Linked DNA regions of Rhinolophus ferrumequinum. The protein of the gene in region 1 purifies or fractionates together with the protein of each later gene. This does not show direct contact. Links are inferred from orthologs where the notes say so. Each region holds a gene or a part of one and is shown in the gene's direction. Other genes may lie near its edges.

Region 1 (7,476 bases):
AGAGACGCATTAGAGCTGATGGTCCGGCTAGGTCTTATTTTCGGGGAAGCTCGGTAGGCCTTCCCTGACAACCTTGTCCAAAATAGCACTCAGTCAGCCTAACCCCTTATCCCGCTTGATTTTTCTCAAGTCTTTGAAACAGGGACAGCCTGACCTCTGAGTCCCAGCAAGTGCTTGGCACTCAATAAATGATCCTGGAATAAATGGTTATTCATGTTTGAATTCCCAAAATCCAGCATGGCACTTAACATATGCTCGATAGATGTTCATTGAACAAATGTTGAATGTAAACTACTGTGTTTTAAGGTGGTAGTGTAGGTATAGGAAGCTGTGCTCCCCACAACCTTGAGGTGGGAGTGGTAAGTTGATAGTGGGACTGGTTGGACGAGTATGAGGAAGAGCTTTTGTTTCTTCTCTGCAGGCATGGGTTGGAGTGGAAGCTTCTCTCCGGACCTGACTACAGCCAGCACCATGTGGTTACTAACTGCTCTTCATTCACCTATTGATGCCTCCCAGAAAAAAACGCCGCCAAACGTCCCAGAAAGCCCAGCTGCTGTTCCACCAACAGCCACTAGAGGGCCCCAAACACCGCTATGCATCGCCACAGTATCCCATCACCCACACTGTGCGGGCACCCAGCAAGCCCATTGACCACAACACTATTACTTCCTGGGTAAGCAGTGGGATTCCTACTTTCACTTTTACTCTGTTAAGCTTCTCAGAATACTGACTTTTCTGCTCGCTGAACCAGGACCTCCAAAGAATAAGATTCATGGGAGCAGGGACAAGGAGGCAGTATACTCTTTCTGTCTGTTGTCAGCCATCTCTTCTGCTATATCTTCTTTTCTAAATTCCAACTGAGGCATAGGTTAGTTGGAATTGGAGTCTTCCCCCCACATTCCTCTGAAGGAGTTCAGTATAAAAGTTTCATTACCCAGTACCTGGGTGAGAAAGCCGGATAAATGGCAGAACTAGTGAAAAATGAGATTGTTTTCTGAGCTTCATGAGAGGTATAGAGTATTTAGGTACTCTATTTACTCGTTAATAGATTGAACCTCAAATAAACCCCACAGAAATGGCATGGGTCATATTTTGACAGTTTAAAAGCCCTGGGAAGAGACTATAGCTACCAAAGTCAAGGAAGTAGTACAGCAAAAGCATAAACTCTGCTTAGGAGTGCTTAATAAATATAACTTGTTCAGGATTGCTTAGACAAGGCATAATACTTGCTCCACGATAGTAGAAACTTAAATGTTAGATTGCCCAAATCTTACATGCCTTTCTATTACTGTTCCATTCATTAGACAGGTATTTTTGTTTTGTGTCCATTACTATAGTGGGTCCCATTTAGGATTCTGGTTGCTGGTCATTAGATGTAGTTGCCTACCTAGGTTTATACTTGGTACTTAGCTATCCTTGCCTTTTTTTTTGATCCTTAGGTATCACCTCAGTTTGATGGAACAGCAGAAAGCTGGTTCCCAGCCAACCGGAAACGGAAACGTCATCACCGAGACCAGGCAAAACATTCAAGTCGAAAATCTACCACCTCCAAGTTTCCACAGCTACCATTTGAGAGTCCACAGTCTTCTACCAGTTCAGCCACACTTGGGATCCCCTTAACCAGGGAGTGCCTCAGTCAATCAGAAAAGGACATTTCCGGAAGGCGCTTAGTTCCAATGCTCAGTCCCCAGAGCTGTGGGGAACTGTCAGCACATGCACTTCAAAACTTACCTTATGTGTTCATTGCACCTGATATCCAGACCCCAGAGTCATCTTCTGGAAAGGAGGGGCCCATTCCCCCAGATCAGAGGGAAAATAGCCTGTCAAACTACTCCCTTCACACTAATACTCCCGAGAGCCCGGATCCTGGGCCTGTTCTGGTTAAAGACACTCCTGAGGAGAAGTATGGGGTAAAGGTCACATGGAGGAGACGACGAAACCTCTTTACTTACCTCCAGGAGAGAGGGAAGCTGAGCAATAGCCAGTTCCTTGTGAAAAACTGACTAGATTTCTCAGACAATAATCTCAAGAAATTGATTGCTGGTTTTCACTGAGTTGCTAAAGTCACTTTTCCAGCTCACAGAAGGGCACATCAGTAGAATAAAATGGAAATAATACCAATAACACCAATAGAAGAAAGGTATTTTAACTAGAGCCCTGGAGTCATAAGGGAATTCGGTTCCCAGATTTGCTTGTTTAAGTATGTTGTTATAAACAATTTTTAGTGTATAGACAGTTCACTTTATATTTTTCTTGTATTAACAGTTTAAAATTTTTAAATATCTTGTAGTAACTGTTTAAAATGTGTTTGTAAATAAATGGCCACAGAAAATTTTTCGAGAACCCTGATTCCCACTGCCAGTATGTGCCAATACTGCCCCCTCCATAATAGGTCTTCCTTGTTTGCTTTTACCACTACTCATTTATCCTTTAATCACCTCATTCAAACTAATAATTCATTACACATTTTTGAGTACCAACTCTGTCAGGCTCAGTGGCAGCTTCGTCTATGACTTGATGGATGAAAAAACTCAAAGCAAGCTCTGACTTTTTATAGTTGAGCTGCCACCTGTGCAACCTTGGCTCATGTGCTGAAGAAAGAGCAGCAAGCCGTGTTTGGCAACAGTAGGATCAGGGGTGGTAAAGGGGACATGTGTAAGTTACTTAGGTTTGCTGTGTTTCGATTTTTTATTTCCAGCCAAAGCTGTAAAGAAATAAGGTGGGAAAATGATTTCTTGGGGTAACTGTTTAAAATGTATATAAATAAATGTGGAAACTTTTCAGAGAATACTAATTGTAATTAACCTTTTCACTGCGTTGATTGATTTCAAGTTCTCCAAAATGTGTCAAAAATCCACAGAAAATAATTACAGTATTTATATTTTTAAGTAAATACAGCTAAGGTGCGACACTTTATTAAAAGAAATGATTAAAGTATAAAAATGTCCTATTGTTATTCATTTTTGAACAACACAAAAATATAGAAAAATGTGCATCTGCTTTCCTAAACTTCCTTTCTGGAGCCCTGAGCTCGTGGGGTAAAGTCAAATGCCCCAGTTAGTGGCATGGAAATGTCATTGGACTATAGACGAAAGTCGCAGTGAAAATGTTAGTGCAGTACTGCCCGGTCAACAAAATCCTTTGACCAATACAAATAGCATCTCACGCAACTCCATTCACTCAGCTTTAAGAAGCTACTCTGTGTCAGGTCCAGTCTCAGGTAGACGAGGATTATTCTGTTTGTTATAGATGGGAATTGGAAGCACAGATAATGAACCATGTTCAGTGTCACATAGCCAGTGGAGGCTGACCCAGCAAGTGCAACGCTCTGCTTTTCTAACTTGTGCCAACCTCTAGGCCTCTTAGAAATTCAAAAGCAATGTGGAAACAGCTTTGACTTTGGAATGCTATAAACGAAACTCAATCTGTGATAACTTCTGTCAGGATGTTTTGTAGGGACTATAATGCTGTATGTAAGTTGTTGGAGAGAAAGGAAGTGATGGTTGAGGACAAGATTTATTGGAAACGAGAGTACAGATGTAGATAGTGGATTTCCTTAAGGTGTTTGGATGTCTGAAGGTGGTCCATAGGTAAATTCTGTGTTTCCCTGAAAATGAGACCGGGTCTTATATTAATTTTTGCTCCATTAGGGCTTATTTTCAGGGGATGTCTTGTTTTTTCATGTACAACAATCTACATTTATTCAAATACAGTCATGTCATCTTCTGGAACATCTTCATAACGTACTAAATGTATCCATCTGGCTGAGATCTTAACTGGGGCTTATGTTCTGGGTAGGTCTTATATTCAGTTAACACGGTAGTAAAGACTCTTAGGAGAGTGTAGAGCAGGTCTAGGAATGCCTTAAAAGCTTGGGCTGGAATCGGGGAGGCTGAGGGAGTTCTGTGCTGTTGGAGGGCCAGAGCAGGTAACTCTAAGATGCATTCCAGTGGGAATGACTGCTGGCGAGGCTACAAGTGTGGTTCCTGGTTAGGCTCTGGTGTGTCCGGAAGGGATCCGACTGTGAGGGAGCTGGCAGAAGTCTGTAAACCCTAACATTACAGACCTCGGGAAGCGCTCTGGGATGGTTTCTGTGTGCAAACCGCGGGGGTGCGGGGAGGCCGTTCCATGTGTGGCGGTTAGTGGGGGTTGGGCGGCTCCTCCGACACACTGGCTTCCTGGCGGCGGGAGCCAACGCCGCTGACGGAAACACATTCTTCCATCTCGGCCCCTTCTCCTCTCGGCGAGCTCTACAGGGATCCAGAACTAGCGCGTCATCCCCGCGCGGGCGCAGGCGCCGGCGCTGGCGCCTTTAACTCGGGGTTCCTCTGTTCCTTAGATACCCTCCCGCAACGCGGCAAGAGCCAATAAGAGAGGAGCGGCGGGCCCGTGGGCCAATAGGCGGTGGCGACAGTGCGTGGTGCGGTTGTCAGGGGGCGGGGCCGGTTGCTGGCCAGGCTTGCCACCCTAGCAGCGGAGTAGGTGGCGGGTTCTGGACGTGCTGGCCACTTTCTGAGCTGCGGTGATGGAGGCGTCGCGCTGCCGACTCGGACCCTGCGGGGACAGGTCAGAAAGGGGTGGTGGCTGGTCTCATCTTGAGTGGGGCGGAGGGCCGAAGGGAGACAGTGGCGGTCCTCTTTGGAAGCTCTGAAGGACAGGGCGGTGGGCTCAAGTGCGGGAGGGAGGGACTGATTTGCAGCCTCCTCTCCCCTCCGCGGCGGAGGACCCCTCCCTTTTCCCGGGAGAGCGGTGGGGAGCGGCGGCTGCACCGGGAGCAGGGACTTGGTGTTCAGTCCCTGCTTGGGAAACTCCGGGGAGTTTTCGTTGTGAGCTCGCCTTGCCCTCTGCGGGCCTCGCTTTCACAAAACGCGTTAGCCCTGTGCCTCACGCACCGCCCAGGAGTGTCATACATGAGATTGGATGAAGTCTGTCCCGGGGTCATCGAAGCGAAATTTAATAATTTGCTCTAAAGCCATCGCTTTCGGCCGGCAGAGCTGAATTCTGGAACAGAATCCGAGGGCTGAAAACGCAAAACTATTCTTTTGCTTCGATGTCCTTTATAGTAATTATCTCTTAGTCAGGATTGGCTGTCTTGCTTGCAACGTACCAAAGCTCCCCTTTCTCTGCCATGTCCCTTTTTTGTACCTCGGCCAGAAGTCAAACGACCCGAAATCTCAATTTCTTTTTTGCCAGCTTAATGAAAAGTTAATGGGGAGCGGCGCGAAATCACTGCTTTAAAACTTTGGCATTGTCTGAAGATTTAAATCTTCCACCTCAACTCTACTCTCCTCTTTTTAGACCGTTACCACGGCAAATAAAGATTTAGCATGTAAGGATTTAGTCTGATATTTAGAATAATAGGTATTTAAACAATTCTAAACCATTTAAAACCGTCGCGAAGGAGGCATTGGGGTAAAGAACACTCATTTTCTTCTTTCATCAGGTTTTATTTACGTAATAACTGCTGTGTGGAATTTGTTCACTGCACTTTTTTTCAAGTCGACAGAAAAATAACCTACATTTTGCAAGTATAAATATGGAGGTGCTCGGAGGATGTCAAGTTAAAATTGAGCGTTTTCGTTGAATTCAGATGGTATTTCTTCAGTTGTGGGCACTCAGTAAATCTTAACTGACTGAATTTAAGGCAGTGAATTTCATGGGTACGAGATGTTTGATATGACTTATGATTTTGGTGTGTGTTGGGGAACATGGAATTGACTTTGAAATTGAGAATTGTTAATTTATTGGACCTGAAGTTTCAAGGGATAATTTTAAAGTTTTCCCCCTGTCTTCTTCCCAAAGAAACCAGCTCTTTAATTTAGAAATTGACATCAAAGGGGAATGTGTGAGTCACCAAATGTTTCTCCTGCCCTAGGTAATATTAGTGCAGCCTCTATTACTGTTTAACTCATTTGTTGTTGAGAGAGAGAGTGGAATGTCTCTTGCTTTTTTTGGCTCCTGGTTGTGTGTTTAATGTTTTTCATGAAATACATTGAAAGAGTTTTTGGCATTAATACCTTTCGATGTGAAGTATAGCATCCAACTTTTAAGTTTCCTGTGACTTTTTTCCTTCTTTGAATTATGTGACTGTTTTACCATGAGGCAGATTTATTTTCAACAAAGTAGAAAAATTATTAACAAATAAACTTCAAATATTTTTCCTATATCTGAAACATTTAGTGAGAATTGGAGCTGGAATTTGAAATAACACCCAGGACCTTTGTTGAGCCTACTAGGCATTTGACATTATAGATTCCCTGGAGATGACAGTGGTTGGCTGGTGCTGGAATGTGAGCTCGCTCTGGCCTCTTGTTCCTGATGAAGAATTGAACTTGTGGTAAGAGAGACTTTGCAGTATGATGTGACCTTGTGACCCAGAGGTGACTAAGAAAGTCCTCATCTGTCGTTTATCCATATGCCACGATTTCTCTTTAGAACTATGAACAGTAGTGGTAGCTGGAGCTTCTGTCTTGGCCAGGCTTGTTATCCTTTTCATGTTCTCCTTTTTAAAAATGTTTCATCAGATCAACAAATTGTTGGCAAACAGACTTAGCCAGTGCTTAAAAATTCTTAGATTAACTAATACGTGACTACAGTATGTTTGGCAAATGTCAGAAAGTACAGTAAAGGCCTGATAACATCTAACATGCATGTGTTTCACCAATTGTGAAGGCTACATACAGACCTAGAAAGGATAGAAAGTAATTCATTTCCTTTCTTCCAAGATCTTCCTGTCCAAGCAGACTGACTCAGACATTTTTTGGAATAGTTCCATTTCTGGCTTCTCGTCTTCCTTTCTGTGGAAACTCTTGTTTCCTCTGGATCTGTCCCCATTAAAAGAAAAGGTTAACGTTTCTTCTTACCAAGAGGAAAAGTATGCTTGAATTACTCAGAGAAGTAGTTAAAGCTGCCTTGCTTCTCTGTATTTGAGGACTTTAGGACTCAAAGGGCCTTGATAATTTCCTGAGTTCTATTTGAGAGTAGTTCCGCAGTGGAATTGTTAAGGCTTCTTTCAAACAAGAATTTTCTGTCATCGCCTTTCGCTCTATTTCCTCTAAGTCAATGCACTAGGAATAAACTCTTTGTACTGCTGAATCTATTCGGCCTCATCAGACGTCCTTAGTTCTTAATAATGAAACCTGCAACATTCTCCTGGCCTGGTTAAAGCTTAAATCCACTGATGCCTGAGAGAAGACACATTATCCATATGCTGATTGATATGCTGTCTTTATCCGCTCAATACTTGGTGTGAGTCTTGATAATGGGGTTGTCATCTCTGCCCCTTTCTTTGCCTTAGAACTTCTGTGAAAACATTAATGACGAGCACTGTATCATGAGTCACAGGACCTCTGGAGGATCACAGTTCTGAAAAGAATTATAGTAGTCCTTTTATGGTTCATAAGAAGATGGCACTTGCTGTTTTACCACATGGCACTGTAATGAGGGTGAGACACTGGAAGCTTCTACTGGGTTCCC
Region 2 (6,881 bases), on another chromosome or scaffold:
TTAAATGTTATCTTTTATTTTTTATTTTAATGTCAAAATTTGTAATTTATTTGTTGTTTGGATCCATTATGTGCTCATAATAGTTGTAATGATAACTCAATCCAGATGACTTAAAAAAAATTAGGGTCTTTGATGGTCAAAGAAAATTTAAAGGTAATTTCAATATAAATGTGTGTGGGGTTTTTTTTGTTTAAGTTTACTTCAGAGAAGTATAATAGATGATCAAGAAAAGATTTCCAAGATTAAAAGTAGAATAAATTTCTGTGGAGAAACAAAGGAAATACAAATTCCTTTATTGTAAATATTTTATTTTAGAAGAATGATACTAGGTATCAATTCAGTATGGTATTAATATTACATGGGATACATTAAAATTTAAATTTTATTTTAGAGAGTCAATATTTATAACATAGCGGAAAATTCATATTTTGTTACTAAACTTATGAAAATTTTCGTGTAATTTAAATATGCATAAAACATCACTTATTTGTCAAAATTATTTTAGGGGACCTATGAGCAAAAATGTTTGAAGACTACTGCTTTATATCATGCTCTCTAAAGAATAGAATTTCTGAGTTTTAGAATACATTAGACTTTTGATGGGAAAACAATTTCATTCTTTTTCTTCATTTACAATATGATGTGATTATTCTCTTTTATCCTGTATTAAAGTGTTTAAAAGTGTATTTATGTTTTCTAATGTCTAAAAATAAATGGTGTTAGCCTTAACAACTAGCCACTTGATGACATTTTGGCGAAGTTGCAAGCAAATGAATATGGACAAATACATCGTTAAATTGCTCAAAATTTTCACCTGGAAATATGGAGAACTTTGTGTATTTAATACTTTTGCATACTCCAATGTTCCTGTTAATAATTTGCCATTACAAACGCTTGAATATTACTGGATAAGTAGTTTGAGGATCTTCTGGAGAATCAGTCTCATTTTTCTAAGGAAATAAATGTCCAGATCCTTATTAAAAGCAAACTTTAGTGTCTCTATGACTGTGAAATGGTTGGTAGGAAATAAATGAGAAGTTTAATATTTCTTTCTTTCTTTACTAATTGAGCCATTTAATTTTTAAATGTTTATATTAGTAAGATAACTGTTATATTTACAATGGGAACTTTTGATCTATTTTCTCTTGATAGTATTTATAGTGTAAACCGGCCTTATTACTGACAGTAAAAGTTGTACAAAGTATTTACACATAAAAAGTTATTTTAATTAAATTGAGATGAAGAGGATTTAGAACTGTTTAATACTTTTTGTTTTTTGCTCATTTTTTGCTAATTATTGAAGCTGTGATCAGAGGATGATAATACATATATCTAAAACTCCTTAATTCAGATCAAGTGACTATTACATGCCGTTTTTAATTCATTCTGATGTTAGAAAGGATACACAACTAAAGCCTTTAGTTGTGAATTAAGAGTGTCATAACTTCTTACCAAAGACAAAAAATCCTAAATTTACTTTAGGATCCAGTCAATAAAATTATATATTTATAAATATTGCTGTAACAAGAAAACCTAATGTTATCTTTTTAAATGTGATAAGCCTAACTTTTCACTTACATATTTGATACTTACAATTTTTTTCAGCTTTAAAGCTTATAACTTTTAGAAGAAATCAATCCTTTAAATTGTGTACTACTTAATTTTTTTTGTTTGTATTGTCTTTAGTATAATAAAAAAGTATCTTCATATATTATTGTCATGCTTTTTTCTGGTGACTTATTATACCAATTTTGTCTTTTAACATATTTCCTTAAACTGAATTAACAATTGGTTAAATATATAACAGTTTCTTGTCAAAGAACACAATGTTGTGACTCTTCCTATAATTTCTTCTCATGCTTTTAAAGTTAAAAAATGTAAGTTCAGGTTAACTAGAAAGGCTTTAATCAAAAAAGTTGTGGGAGAGGGAATAAAACAAAATTATCTAAATTTAGATAAAACGATGAGAGTACGTACATGCCTGAAAAGCAAATGTAACCTACAGATGTAAACCCAGAAACAGTCAAAAATCTAAAATATAAACTTTAAGGGGAAGAAATGAAAAATAAATCCATCAAAGGCAGCATATATTATATGAAATATATATTGTTATTTCTCAACAATGTTGAAAGGACATGACACAGAACAGTATTATTTCCCAAATTTATTTGAGCACAGAACCAATAATATATATTATTAATAATATATCACAGAACAATGGTGTTATAGAAGGAATAAATGAGATCTCACATGCAAGAACTAGGGTAAGGTATTTAGAGGTGATTTTTTTAAGAATGTGACCATTAGTAACTAGCTTCAACTAATCACGTCTTAAATTTGACCAGTTGGTTGGAATCCCGTCTTAGATAATACTCATTTGCTTCAAGAGTCCAGTGTAAGGATCCTGTGAGTAGGTGCCAACATACCTTAGGAATTTAGTTTGGTACTGAAAAAAGATACACATACATTTAAAAACAAATACATATATTATCTGAATGGGATGGGGATTAAGTTTGGAAAGAATTTCTTAGGGAGACATGACTGGTGCGATGTTTGGCGAGGCACAACTGGCCAATAGGGTAGGAACATCATAGGATATATAAAATGGCCTTGGAAGCAGAGAGGAATGGTGGGTTGCAGAAAGCACACTGGCATTCTTAGAGTGGGGGTACCATGGTAAAGACATTTTAAGATTGAAGGAAGATCTGATTTTAGCTGGGGTTTAGATTTGATAGAAAAGGACCATTGTTAATTTTTGAGTGTTCTGGGAGAAGCAATAGACTCAGGTCAAAGATTTGAACGTTATTTGCTCGAGATGGGAAAAGACCAGGTGGGGGAATTAGCTACTACACTGTAAGTGCATAAAGTACATACTAGATTATACAAATCAACAGTGGTAGTCACAGAATATGGTAAAAGGGAAAATCAGAGATCAATAAAAAATGGTGAGATATAATTTCACGGGAGTTTGTGCCCTCTACCTGAAATTGTGGCGCTTTTTAACTCTCCAGGGATTCAAAGAGGACAAAGGAGAATTGAAGAAAGAAATAAGGTAGAAAAGAATATAGAACAGTTAACTCCAGGCGAGAAAATAACAAACACCTCAATTATTTAAAAATGGAAAGCTATGCCCCAATGGCAATTATATGCTGTGATGGCCCAAAGCTCATATAATCTTTTTATAAGGACCCTTGGGCTGCAGTAACAGCTTAAATAAGCTGTTAAAAATTTCTAAAACAAACAGAATAAACACAAACTCTTACTCCCAAATTGCTCCAGAGGGTTCTCCAACACCCAAAGGCGTAAGGGTAGGTGTGCCAGCTCTGAAAACGCAGGTTTGCATTTTCATTTGCCCGGAGGCGTCAGCCTACCCAGTGCAGTTAATGACTTTTCCCGTTCCACAATGTTGGGACTTGGGGGATTTGCAAACTACCCAATCATTGCGACCTCATTTCAATGAGCGCCTTTCCTCCTAAATTGATTCTGACACCTCGTGCGTGTTTCACCGCGACCATCCAAGGTGTGGCGAGTGCTCCTAGCCCGCGGAGACTGAGGGCATCTGAGGCACTAAAGGTCAGCGACCCAGCCCCACGCAAGAGTAGAAAAACCCCTGAAACACAGACCAGGGACAGCTTCACCATCCGCGCGGCGACACAAGCCCCCGACGTCCGCGCAGGCGCACGAGGCCCGCTGGCCGAGGCGCGGTCGACACCGGAAGTGTCTCACGGCGCCCCGGATGCAACTGGGCGGCGGCGGTTGCCAGGGCGACGGGAGCTTTAAAGGACCGCTGGTACTGGCGATCGGCGACTTAGAACGAGTTTCCACTTGCGGGCCTCGACGGCTGGGGTCGTCATCTCCGGGCTCCCAGGATGTTCTTTTACCTGAGCAAGAAAGTGAGTTTTCCAGGGGGCTCCCTCTCTCCTCCTTCTTTCCCGCATCTTGCGGGAGATGACCAAATCCCGCCTGCGAAGCTAGGCGTCCTGATAGCGGTTTCGCAGTCCCTCCCCAACCTTCCTGCCTGGTCCAGCATCGGACCTCCTGCATCCTTGCCCGAGTCCCAGATAGTCCTTGGCGGAGCCAACAGCCGTCTCGCACGACTCTGTCCCTTTCTGTCCCATTCCTGCCCCTGGCCGGGTCCTTTTGCGGCGCCAGCAGGGCAGACCGCTGCGTGCTTCCCTATCTTTCCAAAACCTGTTGGTGAGCCAGGTGACTCAAATTCTTTGGACCATCACGGGTCGCCGAGCGAGAGAAAAATACTAACAAAAGGGTAGCCTACGTGTCGTGTGTGGACAGGGAATTTGGACTGATGGTATGGATTTATATCTCCGTGTCCCCCTCCTCCCTTTTAAAAATCCATCAGGCGACTCCCCCGTTGGGTTCCTCCGTAGTCACTGCCCTTGTCTTGTGTGCACTTTTTTCTCTTCCGAATGGTAGGGGCCCCGCGCAGTTCAGTGGGACTGTTTCCATTTTCATAACAAGTCACACTTCTGTAAGGCTGACCGTTTTTCGTTTTGGGGGCATTTTCTTCAGTCTTCATCTCCTGTAGACTCTCACTTCCCAACTCCTTCGCGAACTGCTGAGAGTGGCTGTGGTTGCTTTTCAGATTGCCATTCCCAATAATGTGAGCCTGAAATGTGTGTCTTGGAACAAGGACCAAGGATTCATAGCATGTGGTGGTGAAGATGGATTACTGAAAGTTTTGAAATTAGAGACCCAGACAGGTAAGTAAATGCAAGCCCAAATGTCTGAACTTGACGGAAAATTGGCTCATTTGTTTGAGAGTTGCTCATGTTATTGTCAGTATGCAATTTTAATTTTTTAAAAGGGCCCCTGTGGGAACAGAGCCCCAAAAAGCAGTTTCCAGGCTCTCAGCATCACATAGAAAGGTGCTGGCTCAGGTAGTAAATGGCCATCGACTGTGATCAAATGGCCATTAGCTGTGGCTAGTTGGCCGTCAGCTGTAACCAGTGAGCCATTGGGCACTAATATAACTGCTGTGGCTACACTAGTAGAAAATAGGGGCTAGCAAGAAGATGGTGGCTGAGCCTACAAGTGGTGCAGTGAGGGTTGCGAACAGTGTGGCTCCTGGTTCCTGTGTTTCCAATCCAGCCGTTGGCGAGAATATAGTAATATGACTCCCCTATCTATGGCTCCGTAGGTGTTCCTTTTTGGCCTCACCATGTCCTGCGTTCTTATGTGGGGAGCGGGAGCAGAGACCCCGCATGACACCCTGCATGACACATGGCATAGTCGGCAGGATCCCCCGCAGACCCTCCAGGCCACCCCGCGTGACACATGGTGCAGCGAGCAGGGTCCTCTGCACAACAGTCCCCTCCCCCAAACCCAAACACTTTGTGGTATTTTACTAGAGTGTTTTTGCAGTAAAGTTCAGAGAATATTGAAAATAAACGTCAGATGGCTTTTGCTGAAGTTCTTAATGGAAAATGAAAAAGAATGAAGAATGAAAACTGTCACTGTTGTCTGTGCTATGTCTATTTATTGGGCTATATTATTAGGAATCTAATAAAAATGAGGTGAGTCAGCATTTCAGTGAGGTCACGGAATCGTACATTTTGGCAGATTCTTTACAGCCTGTGTTCTCCTTTCTGTTTGTCAGATATGTTAATTATGTGCCACGTTCCCAAGAATAGAAAATGGGATTAAAAAACCATTTTTATTATTATAAGTCTCTTGTATTTACAGCTTGATTTCTCTTTTTCTAGTTCTCTGGTATCATAGCAAACAGTTTCATAGGTGTTTAGCATCCCTAGTGTTCTGGATTGGAAATCTAGACAATCCCCAATTCAAATTGGAGATCTAGATAAGGAGATTGGAGTTGGACTCTCAGCCCTGCCGTAAGACTACTGAATGACTTGCAGCAAGTTGCTGACTATCTTTGGGGTTTAGTTCACTCGTTTGTAAAATGAGGGATTGAACTAAATTACATTGCTTCTCAAACTTTATCAGGCATAAGAGTCATCTGCTGATGTTGCTAAAATGGATTTCTGGGCTTCAGCTCCAGGTGGGATCTGAGAAGATGCATTTCTAGTGATACAGATAATGCTGGTTCTCAGTCCCCAGTTTGAGTAACACTGCTTTACAGCTTTGAACGTGTATTTATAAGTATTTATTGAGCACTTTCTATGCACGGGATGTTTAACCTTCGCTGTTTCGTTTGACTTCACAATAATCTTGAGAGGTAGGTATTCCAGATGAGAAGACTGAGGTGCTGATCAGTTAATAACTTGTCCAAGGTCACACAGCCAGTAAAATCCCAGACAGAGCTGGGAGTTGAAACGAATTGTCTCACTTTCAAACCCTTGTTTTTAACAAGTGCACGAGGGCTCATGAACAGCCTAAGCAAACAGAGAATAGTTGTCTTGATGTGCTAGATTAATTATATGAAATAAAAGACAGATTTGGAAGGTAGATACTTATGTACCAATTAGAGTTTGGCTTCTGATGTTTAATAATTTAATCTCTCTTGTTAACTATCTTAAAAGAAAATAATTTTTCTTTTTTATGTTTCTCAAAAGTATACGTATATGGACGTATGTATTAATGTATTTATATATACGCTTTTATTTTCCTTAAAATATGTAGCAAATTTTAGTTATGTTAAGAAATGCATTCATTATGTTTAAAAATGAAGGCTTTTCCAAAAAAAAAATTAGTTCTTTTCCTGTTCCGCACTTTTAATGAAGTGGGGTTAGAATATTTTTTTGAAATTAGCAAGCAAGATGGAACAATAAATTCTTGAGAGGAGTGGAAAATGGAGTAAATTATTTGTTTTGGAACTTCATAATGAGTGTAAGTCACGTTGAAAGAGATAAATATGAGAAATATGGCTGGAAAATTCTAACAAGATCAGTGTATTGTAG

The links.
Region 2: the proteins of TULP3 (region 1) and WDR35 purify together in Homo sapiens (affinity purification with mass spectrometry; 5 studies listed by BioGRID and IntAct, counting the BioPlex papers as one, with this or other methods). This does not show direct contact. The link is inferred for Rhinolophus ferrumequinum from reciprocal best matches to the Homo sapiens genes TULP3 and WDR35.

The regions. Positions count from the first base shown.
Region 1 is NC_046293.1:87,867,586-87,875,061, reverse strand, and holds the start of TULP3 (tubby-related protein 3), read left to right. Parts: upstream 1-4,457; 5' UTR 4,458-4,525; coding exon 4,526-4,566; intron 4,567-7,476. Other genes in the region: RHNO1 (RAD9, HUS1, RAD1-interacting nuclear orphan protein 1), read left to right, coding at 506-673, 1,440-2,003. UniProt on the Homo sapiens protein: Negative regulator of the Shh signaling transduction pathway: recruited to primary cilia via association with the IFT complex A (IFT-A) and is required for recruitment of G protein-coupled receptor GPR161 to cilia, a promoter of PKA-dependent basal repression machinery in Shh signaling.
Region 2 is NC_046296.1:58,844,994-58,851,874, forward strand, and holds the start of WDR35 (WD repeat-containing protein 35), read left to right. Parts: upstream 1-3,869; coding exon 3,870-3,893; intron 3,894-4,603; coding exon 4,604-4,721; intron 4,722-6,881. Other genes in the region: MATN3 (matrilin-3), read left to right, coding at 741-796. UniProt on the Homo sapiens protein: As a component of the IFT complex A (IFT-A), a complex required for retrograde ciliary transport and entry into cilia of G protein-coupled receptors (GPCRs), it is involved in ciliogenesis and ciliary protein trafficking.